2 linked regions of the Arabidopsis thaliana genome follow. The protein of the gene in region 2 purifies or fractionates together with the protein of the main gene of each other region. This does not show direct contact. Each region holds a gene or a part of one and is shown on either strand. Other genes may lie near its edges.

What was found. Proteins that work in one complex are often made in the same cells at the same time.
Region 1: the proteins of AT1G16820 (region 2) and CPN60A fractionate together in Arabidopsis thaliana (co-fractionation; one large-scale study listed by BioGRID). This does not show direct contact.

What each region holds. Positions count from the first base shown.
Region 1 is NC_003071.7:11,924,236-11,930,306, reverse strand, and holds CPN60A (chaperonin-60alpha), read right to left. Parts: upstream 3,862-6,071; 5' UTR 3,705-3,861; coding exon 3,651-3,704; intron 3,337-3,650; coding exon 3,153-3,336; intron 3,056-3,152; coding exon 2,934-3,055; intron 2,860-2,933; coding exon 2,652-2,859; intron 2,567-2,651; coding exon 2,421-2,566; intron 2,339-2,420; coding exon 2,032-2,338; intron 1,947-2,031; coding exon 1,495-1,946; intron 1,411-1,494; coding exon 1,123-1,410; 3' UTR 819-1,122; downstream 1-818. UniProt on the Arabidopsis thaliana protein: Binds RuBisCO small and large subunits and is implicated in the assembly of the enzyme oligomer. Involved in protein assisted folding. Required for proper chloroplast development.
Region 2 is NC_003070.9:5,755,884-5,760,315, forward strand, and holds AT1G16820 (vacuolar ATP synthase catalytic subunit-related / V-ATPase-related / vacuolar proton pump-like protein), read right to left. Parts: upstream 2,771-4,432; 5' UTR 2,582-2,770; coding exon 2,484-2,581; exon of another isoform or gene 2,320-2,483; coding exon of another isoform or gene 2,303-2,319; exon of another isoform or gene 1,677-2,302; coding exon 1,598-1,676; intron 1,515-1,597; coding exon 1,425-1,514; intron 1,331-1,424; coding exon 1,316-1,330; 3' UTR 952-1,315; downstream 1-951. Other genes in the region: AT1G16810 (7-dehydrocholesterol reductase-like protein), read left to right, coding at 267-414, 525-811; AT1G16825 (Reticulon family protein), read left to right, coding at 2,994-3,160, 3,767-3,908, 4,188-4,257, 4,369-4,432.

The sequences.
Region 1 (6,071 bases), on a different chromosome or scaffold from region 2:
CTTAATATTTTTTTTTATGTTACTAATCTTTGCAAGTTGATTAAAACATATAATAGCAGATAAGTAGTCTAAGCTTGCCCATTCGCCAAGCTTCCATAGAATTTTCATATGAACAAAAGGTGAGATGTTGTTGAAACCCTAGGAATATCTTTCAACTCCTCGATGATCACCTCTTGATCTTCAAGATCGAAGGGCAGAGAGATTGTTGCGGTCTTTAAACGCTTAGAGTTGGCTAAAATGTATGTCAAGAATTTTTCCCCTTCTACTCTATCTCTATATCCTTTCCACTCGAATATCTCTAGCTGCGATGACAAGCATCCGGGAACAAGACTCGGTTGATTCCATCAAAATGGAAGATCCTCGGTTTTGTAGATATATCTCTGAGAAGCAATAAGGGGTATATATTAAGCAAAATTTTGACTAGTATTTTAGTCCATCAAAGCTAGAACAAGAAGAGGAGGAAGAGAAGGATACATACATAATCATCTACCAAAAATTCTTTTAGTTTTGGAGCAGTTCCAAGTCAAAGTACGAGTGGTTCCAACGAGTCTGATCTCCCTGTATATATACTTAACTTTACAAGAATATATGGATTGTGATGTCCTGTGAAAGTATTGAAGATAACTGAATATGAAGGAACAATTGAAGAGCTAGAGGAAATGAGACATTTCATAGAGAAACTGTCATGTCTTGTGCTTGTCAAAGTTCGTGCCTGTGCAATAAACGACAAGGAGAAGTATCGAATCACCGGAGATCTGCTAATGGTTCGTAGATCATCGAAGTGCAATATCCAGATCAAGTTTTATGAGAAAACTAGTAAAGGCATGAAAAAACATTGTTCCCTCCTAGTTTAATAGTATAGTAAGTTGGAACATTATTCAGTTTGTACGCATATTTGCTTATTGTTCTGCTAAACTACTCTCGCTACATATAAAATGTTTGGTCGCATACATAACCATTTTCTGCAATTTCCATTGGACAAAAAAGATGATAATTATTTCTCGATACTGTTAACAAACTACTCATATTCCCCCAAAAAAGAAAAACATTGCAGATAAATGGGGATGACAAATGTGCAAAAAGACAAAGATGCCATTGTGATGATAAGATGTTGTGTTTTGATTACACCATGAGACCCTCAGGAGCAGCAGCAGCAGGAGCCTTGGGTTTCGGTTTGTCAACAACAATGGCCTGAGTGGTCAGTACCATTCCTGCTACGGAAGCAGCGTTCTGTAGCGCACATCTTGTCACTTTAGCCGGATCAATCACTCCAGCTTCGAACAGATTCTCATATGTATCAGTCATTGCGTTGTACCCATTCTCCCAATCGCTGAACATAATCTTTTCCACAACAACTTCTCCTTCAACTCCAGCGTTCTGAGCAATAAGAGCAGCTGGTGACAGCAATGCCTGAACTCAAAACATAAACCCTTATAAGATAACTAGTCACAATTGGTTACAGAACAAATACTGAACCGAAAAACTAAATGCTACCTTTTGTACTATGTCAGCTCCCAAACGTTCATCAGCATCCTCAAAAGTCTCCTTAATGGCGGGAATAACAGTGGAGAGATGCACCAAAGCAGCACCACCACCTGGAACTATGCCTTCCTCGATAGCAGCAAATGTTGCGTTCTTTGCATCCTCGATACGAAGCTTACGGTCCTCAAGCTCAGTTTCAGTTGCTGCTCCGACTTTAATGACAGCAACACCTCCAGATAGCTTCGCAATTCTCTCAGCGAGCTTCTCTGAGTCATACACAGAATCAGTCTCGAATAGTTCTTTCTTCAGCTGAGCAATCCGAGCTTGTAATTCGTCCTTGGAAGCTGCATCTGCAATGAGGGTAGTCGAATCTTTGCTAATCGTGACTTTTCGGGCAATACCCAATTGATCTATGGTTGCGTTTTCAACCAGTAAGCTCATGTCCATGGCTAGGTACTCAGCTCCTGAAAAACATACAAAATGATAAAAAGTTTAGACCATAACAGAGAGAAAGTAAAAGTACTAAACGCACGCGAAATCTGCATATACCTGTCAAGATTGCAATATCTTGAAGCATGGCTTTTCTTCTTTCTCCAAATCCTGGCGCTTTAACGGCAACAACATTGAGGACACCACGAAGCTTGTTCACGACAAGGGTAGCTAAGGCTTCACCAGTAACATCCTCTGCAATAATCAACAACGGAGCACGAAGCTGAGTGGTCTTCTCCAAAATAGGGATGATGTCTTTGATCGCAGTGATCTTCTGATCAGTGATCAATACCCTAGCATTCTCAAACTCAGCTAGTAGTTTCTCAGGGTTTGTAACAAACTGAGGCGAGATGTAACCTCTGTCAATCTGTAAATAATCAAGTTAGTCATTGGCAATGAATGGTGAATAAAATTACAGTTGAAGAGAAGCAAGACAAAAAAACTCATACCTCCATCCCTTCTTCAACTTCGACCGTGGTCTCAAAAGAAGATGAAGATTCAATGGACAAAACACCATCAGGTCCAACTTTGTCGATGGCATCAGCAATCATTGACCCTATAAGGTCATCATTTCCAGCAGAGATAGAAGCCACAGCTGGAAAAAAAAAAAAGAACAGATTGATCAGTAAAAGAAATCAAACATTGCTGCATCACAAGGAAGGTCACTGCAAAGTTAGTACCTCTGATGTCATCACGACCTTTCACGGGCCTAGCTTTCTTCTGAAGCTCTTCGATCAGACCTTGAACAGTCTTATCAATTCCCCTCTTGAGTGAAACGGGATTCGCACCAGAAGTGACGCTCAACAATCCATGTTTGATTATCTCCCGAGCAAGGATAGACGCAGTGGTTGTCCCATCACCAGCAGAGTCATTAGTCTTACTCGCAACCTACCACATAACAACACCAGATTACCGCACCGTATAAATAGCATTAACAGAGACAATAACAAAGCTACACCAACCTCACGAATAAGCGCTGCACCAGCATTTTCCATGGCATTAGGTAACTCAATAGCTCTAGCAATGGTGACTCCATCATTCACAACCTTAGGACTTCCAAATTCATCCAACACAACATTCCTCCCTTAAGAATAACAAATGAAAACACCAAGATAAGTCGAAAGATAAATAACACAGATGAAGATGGAAAGAGTAAAGGAGCTACTAATATTAACAAATACCTCTAGGGCCAAGAGTGAGACCAACACAATCAGCAAGCTTATCAATACCAGCTTGTAGAGCAGCTCTAGAGTGCTGGTCAAAAGCTATTTCCTTTACATTAGCTCTAACACTAAAACGTCTGATTGTCCTCTTGTTGTAGCTAACTCTCTGACCTTGCTGCTGATTTCCTCCTCCCAACTTACTCTGTATACCCACAACATCAATAAAGCAGATTCATTAACATTAATCTCAATCAGTTTCTTCTAATTCCCATAAAAATTAACCTTTTCTCACCAACCCAGAAACCAAATAGAGAAAAGCAATTGAATTGAAACAGAACAAACTAAAGGGTCAAATTCAATCACTTTCTTCAAAAACCCAATAAACCAGATAGAGAAAGGTTTTTGAAAATAGATAACACTGAAGGGTCAAATCCAATCAAAACAAAGTAATGAAAGATGATTCATTTTCTTCTTTAGTAAGTAGCTAAGGAAGGTAAAAAGGAACAAACTTTGTACCTGACGGGAAGAACAGAGGACGGAGGCGGAAGAGAGAGCGTTTGCAGACGCCATTTTGAGAGAAAAGGAGGGAGCTTTTTGAGGAACGTTCTGGATTGGTGTGGATAAGGAAGTGGTTAGTGTAAACGAATAGTGTGGGAGGAGGGGTTAGGGTTTATTAGATAAATGGAGAGAGTAGCTGAGAGAAAAAGGATCCAGAAGATTCTTTGCATTCGTAACGAGAGAACCGTTGATCTTAATAAGCCTTTTTCACCTACTTCTATGGGCCTGTTTGTCTCACTGTTTATGGCCCAATAATAGAAACAGTACTCAAGAAACTTTTATAGTTTGTGTATTCCAAATTCGTTTTTATCCATTCTCTTACTGAATGTACTCACTCTGTTTTAAAATATAAGAGGTTTAAGGTAAATGGATACATATTAGGTCATTTTGTATATAAAAAATAGTATTTAGATTTTGTTAAAAAAAATGATAATGAAAACTGCAAAATATAAATAGTCACAAATAGTCAAATTAAATTTAAATTTAAACTTGTAAAACATCTTATAATCTGAAACAAAATAAAATCCCTAAAACATCCAATATAATGAAACAAAGGGAGTAATATTTAGACCAAACTAATAAGTACAATTTAAGACTTGTGAAAACCATGAGATTATAAAATACATGTTAAGTGGATGAAAACACCTAGCTTAGAGTAGATTTACCCGCTAAGTAAAACAGAAACTCTCATAAAGACAACAGTTACTACTTTTCTAAACAGAGAATAGACTCCAAATCACCTAATTGCTACATGATTAATTGATTTAGTTAAGCCAATACAATTTGTTTCTAAATCTTTTTTCATATAAGTATTGCTTGTTGTACGCATCATATACCATGCATTAAATTAGTTTCCCATGAATAAATTCACTAGTTACGGAAAAGAAAAGTTGGGAAGTGAGATAATAAATCTGACAAAAGTGGCAGTTTCAACTCTGAAGCGTCAATCACATAAATAGTTGCAGTTTGGCGTTGGGTTTGATTTGATTGAGTGAATTGACCAAATAAACACACTTAATTAATAACAAAAGGGAAGTTACGTAACACAAAAATTATAAATAGGGACGTCTACATGTATTATTCCTCAAAAGATGCAGCTTACCATAAGATGACGTCCATATCTTTAATGGAAACCGTGCCGTAAAATTGACTGCCAAAATGTACAATGTAGAAAACATGAGTAAACTAACAGTTGTCCTGATGTACAAAAAAACACACTAACAGTTGTCCGATGAAAAGAAAGAGACATGTAATTTAAAGCATTACGACAAAAAGAGTAAATAAATAACACTGTTGTTAACTTGTTTTAGTAATCTATTGTAATTATTTTCTTGAGTGGTTGTGATTGAAACGAAACAATTTAGTGGACTACTAAGCAAAAATAGTTAGGATATATAGAGCATGCAACAAAAGACATGCAAAAACATAATTTGGTTTGATGTTTTGCATATGTGTTTATAGTTTTCTAAAACTTAAAGTGCCTCATATAAACAAATAATTAAGTTAAAAGTGTATTAAAATTCTGAAATTTAACCACATTCCTATGTTCTATATGAAAAAACAATTATTAACCATTAAACTACCATAAAATAACTAATACTTTATAGACTTATGATTTTATTTTATTTTATTAAAGAATTTAGTTAAAATTAATTTTAGGGCCGTTAATTTTATTGTTTTTTAGATATTCCGTAGTTTATTGCATGTTTCAATTTGTATAAAAATGTGTTTCATTTGGATATTGATACATGTGTATCAGTTTAAAGAAGAAAATAATTTTCGTGGAAAAAAACCGACAAAATAGATTTTTAAGAGAGTAAGTACAGTACCGTGTAATAGAAAGACTGATAAAACCCACCTTAATACGTCAAGAAAAAAACCATTACAGATTTTACGGCTTTACGCAATCATTATTCTCTCTCAGTCTCTCTCAGTCTCTCTCTCTATCTCCCACGGTCGGTTTACATACATATCTAAACTCACCACCGGAGCTCCGACGATTTTTCCGGCCACCTTCCGATCGGTATGTGTTGTGTTCCCTTTTTTCTTCTGAGATCTATCTGTCTTTATCACTTCCACTTACCTTATTCATTTTGTTTCTCCTCGCGAGTATTTGTTTTGCTCATGGTACTTATAGTTCCAAATTGAAATCTTGACGATTATGATATATATTACCAAATTTAAATCCGAATACTAGTTATATTCTCACACCTTATTTTTTGTTTTCTTGTTCTTCTTCTCTTTGTTGTTCTTGAAGTTTCCTAGGGTTTTGTTCTTATATAAAAAGTATTATTTTCTGGGTGTTTTTACTTCGTCCATCTCTCATTTCGTGTTTTCCCTGTTTTTTTTGTAGTTTTTCATTTGGAAATTTAATTAAAG
Region 2 (4,432 bases):
TTACTTTTTTGATTGATAAGCTTGATTCGTGTTCAAGTCCTAGTTCTAGGATCTCTTGTCATACACAAAGGAAAGAAAGAAAGAGTTAGAGATTTTGGAACCTTTCAAAGAATTTTGATTATATGTATACTGATGATATGTGCTCTCCGTTTGCTAAGTCGGTTGGTAGTTTTGCTTATCAGTGTTTCGAGAAATCACCAATTCTCAAGCTTTCTAACTTGAATGTATGTTTTGTGTGGTACTTTGTTCTGACTAGCAGCCAAGAGATGTCGGCATACGACAATGTTATTGGTGGGAAGCTAAAGCTAAAAGGGAAGGCTTTGGATGTGAAAGCAGGTGGAGTAAAGAAGAAGAAGAAACATAAGAGACAGGAAGAACAAGCTCTTAAAATTACTGATCATGAACTCATAGAAGGTAAGAAACAACAGCTCTCTTCTCATAACCATAACTAATCTGTTCATCAACATTCATCGACAAAGGAGAGTCAATTAATTGTTGTTTGGCTATTTTGGGTTTGGGTATAGGAGAAAGCACTGAAGCATTGGGTAAATTGATTGAAGGAGAAGAAGGAGATGAAGAAATGAACAGGAGTGAAAAGGCAAGCGAGGATGCGAAGTTGCAGCAGCAGCTCGATGATGATGATCACTTAACGCCAGCAGAAAGGCGATACATAGAGCAGAAACAAAGATTGGATGTGCAGAAGCTAGCTAAGGAAGCGAACAAGTCTCACCGTAACAGGATTGAGGATTTCAATCAGTATCTGGCTAACATGAGTGAGCACTACGATATCCCTAAAGTCGGACCTGGTTAATATAATTCTTTCTTGTCTTTGTTTTACTCTGCTTATCTATTTTGCATCGTTAAACGACTACTTTGGATGTCTGTTATGTTTAGTCCCTTTAACTTTTGAATGATGTGATCGCAAATCTGTAATGTCAAAAACACATTTTCTTGGAATATTTCTTCTGCATTTCTCAACTTCTTTAAAAAAATTGTGAGAATATTTAACCTTTTTGAACCTTGTCGTAAGAGTTAATATTCCTTTTGTCTGTACACCAACAAATAAATGAAATCATGAAGAGAGGAAGCGAGAACATATATCACAACAACCACTTATTTCTTTCGGGCTCAAAACCTGGATTCATGGACTCATCATTACCCCACTGTGATGATGCTCGATGCTCGAATACTTCCGATTTCTGAAAACTGCTTGCTTCTCGAGTTCCATCTTCCAAGGCGCGTTCTCCAGAAGTCAGATCATTATTACAGTTTCTTGAATTTGGCTACAAGTGTATCTTCTCCCTCAGCTGGATCTTCAAACTTCTGAAACCTAAAATAACCAAAACTCTAAGTTTAGATCTTGATTTCTTTTCTAAACAAAATCTAACCGAGAAAACAGCTTCATCAGTAGAAGATTTGCTTACACTAAGCGGTAGAAAAGATCTCCCAAGCGATGTTTGATGAGAGTGTAAGTAACCGTCTGAGCCATCCACTCCAGCTGCTCTGTCAATAGCCTGTGTTATCGATCACAAATATACAAAGTTTTCAAAAACCAAAAGAAACACGCAAAAAAAGGTTGATAACTCAAGATCGATACCTGATTGGCCAAGTTGTAGAAATGAATAATGTTACGCATCATCCACACGGATTTGTAGGAAGGGGAGAATTTGTCATAGCTGTCACATTCTATCAGAAGTAAACAGTTAATTTACTCAAGTTATATTCCCCATTGCATCATGAGGAAGGGCGACATGGTGTGTCGTCAGCGTATTCTCAAAGACAGTCATACATTTCAAAATTTGACTATCAGAAAAGACTATAGCTTTGCAGTAGTCTCCAAAGGCCTTTATGTTATTAACAGAATACTCTCTAGCAATAGTGAGAAGCTAGAATCTCTAACTTGTTATGTTATTTCCAATCTAAAACTCTAAAATTCCAACTGAACCTGATTCCATCAAAAGATATTTCCCAATATTCCTGATCCAAGCTCCACTGATAGTGGCTAGCAGAAATATATAAATTAGCTACAAACCAAACCAAATCATCTCAAGACAAAAGCCAACACAAACCTTGTTTGTTCGAAACCTACATTCTGATACACTCATGTAATTCCATTCTGATTTCGAAATATTGATTCCACCGGACAAAAAATTGTCAAACAAGTGAGAATCGACAAAGCATAAATTCGCAAACCAGGGGAAGAATCAACAGATTCAGTCTTACAAATTTAGTTATCCGGCCAAAATTAGATCACAAATAGGAACATCCTTCAAAAAAAAATTAGATAGAGAGCAAATCAGACCTTGCGAATGTAGCCATAGTAGCTCTCCTTCTCAAACAAATGACAGAGTTTATATTTTGAAGGAGGAGGATGATCTAATTCTAAGAGTTACAAGAGCTCGTACATTCAATTTGGTTTTTATAAAGTCCCACATCGCTAGTTTAAGAAACACTCGCTCTACCACGTTTGATATAAAACACACTTCGTATCCATATCGCAACTCATACCTTTCTCGGCCTTTTGGCTAAGATCAAGTGTAGTATCTGTTCTTATCAGTTTAATATCTGATATGTGGGCCATCGGCCCACACGATATTAACTCTATTTTTTAAGGGAGAAAGCCCACTAAGATAGCTTGCTATCTGGGCTTTCGCGAGTCGCCCATGCGTTGCACTACTGCACGGGCCGGCTCAACCCGCCAATTTCAGTGAAAATTTCTTTTATGTCAAATACATATAAATTTTTAAATAAGCTATATCGAACTAAATATTGAGGCTTGAAGCCTTGAACCAATCAAAACCATTAACAATATCTAATTACGAAATTGCTGGGTTTCCAAACTGACCAAGAATTTGGTTTGTTTCTTAATAAGCCAAAGGCAAAATCGATTCTGAACCAAACAAACCAGCAATTGGAATCCAAACCGAAACTCTTGGGAAGTTTCATCTGAAAGAAAATGTCGGAACCAAAAATTCAAGAGAGAAGAAGAAGAGATGGGGGAAATGGGAAAGGCGATAGGATTGCTGATAAGCGGGACGCTTGTGTATCACCATTGCGCTAATCGCAACGCGACTCTTCTCTCGCTCATCTCCGACGTTCTCATCGTTCTCTTATCTTCACTCGCCATTCTCGGCCTTCTTTTTCGTCACCTCAATGTCTCGTAAGTTTCTCTAATTTCCTCCTTAAATTTTCTTTCTTTGAGTGTTGGGCTTTCTGTTACATCTCCCATTTGCCGATCTAAGGTTACAAATTGAGAAATTCTTTGTTTGGCTGTTTGATCTGTTCAGAATTCAAAATGAGTGAGCTTTTTGTTGTGTTTAGTTTTCACATAATCGTGTGAATTGTTGTTGTGATGCTACTAGCTAGTTTCAACGTGTTTACGACATGAAAAGGTTTTATTTTGCTTGCCTTTGCTTTTGGTTTCAACATAAGGAACTAGGAACCATAAAAGTGTGATTTGATTCGATGATATAAACGGTTTAAATTTACTCTTGCATTCTTAAAAGTCACATTATCTACAAAGCTCAATCTTTTGTTTCTTTGAATGTAACAGCTTTTGATCTTCATGACCATGAGCGTTGGGGAAAAAGTTGTGTTTTTCAACTGTGTATTTCTCATCATTCTATCATTTTCATCCCTCTTCTCTGATCAATGCAGAAATTACCAGCGTTATTAGTATAATTGATTTGATGATTCACTGTTTGAAATACTCTTGCAGTCTTTATAGGGTCACATGATTTAACAAAGTAGTAACTTTTGTGTGAAGGGTACCTGTGGATCCATTAGAGTGGCAAATATCACAAGACACAGCCTGTAACATTGTGGCGCGCTTAGCTAATACTGTTGGAGCAGCTGAATCCGTTCTGCGGGTTGCAGCAACAGGACATGACAAGAGGCTCTTTGTTAAGGCAAGTGCATTCTGGTTTCTTCCTTGTTTGCATTACAAGAGGTAGTTTCTTCGATCACCCGGTGCGGTGCCTGCATGAATAGGAAATGTGTATAACAACATTCAAGCATTTATTGATGAAGACAAAGATGGTTAAGACCATTGACTGAAATTCCACAGAACCTGTCAGTTGTGGTTTTAGCCAATTACCACTCCGATGCAATGCAGTTCTCTGGTTTTATGCTTGGTGGCAGAATTCTAAACTGAACTTTTTTTATCTTCGCCTGTTTCTGTCTCTCAGGTTGTGATCTGTCTTTACTTCTTGGCAGCTCTAGGACGAATCATATCGGGTGTGACCATTGCCTATGCAGGTAAAAGCACAATGGTTCGCTCTTAAGTCTTAACCATAATATGGAATGATGCTTTCGATATTTAGTGTAGGATACTTTTTCTGACACTGTTAATTCTTCTGTGTACAACAGGACTATGTTTGTTCTGTCTCTCCATGCTTTTTCGGAGTTCAATTAGAAACTCCGTATTGAACCG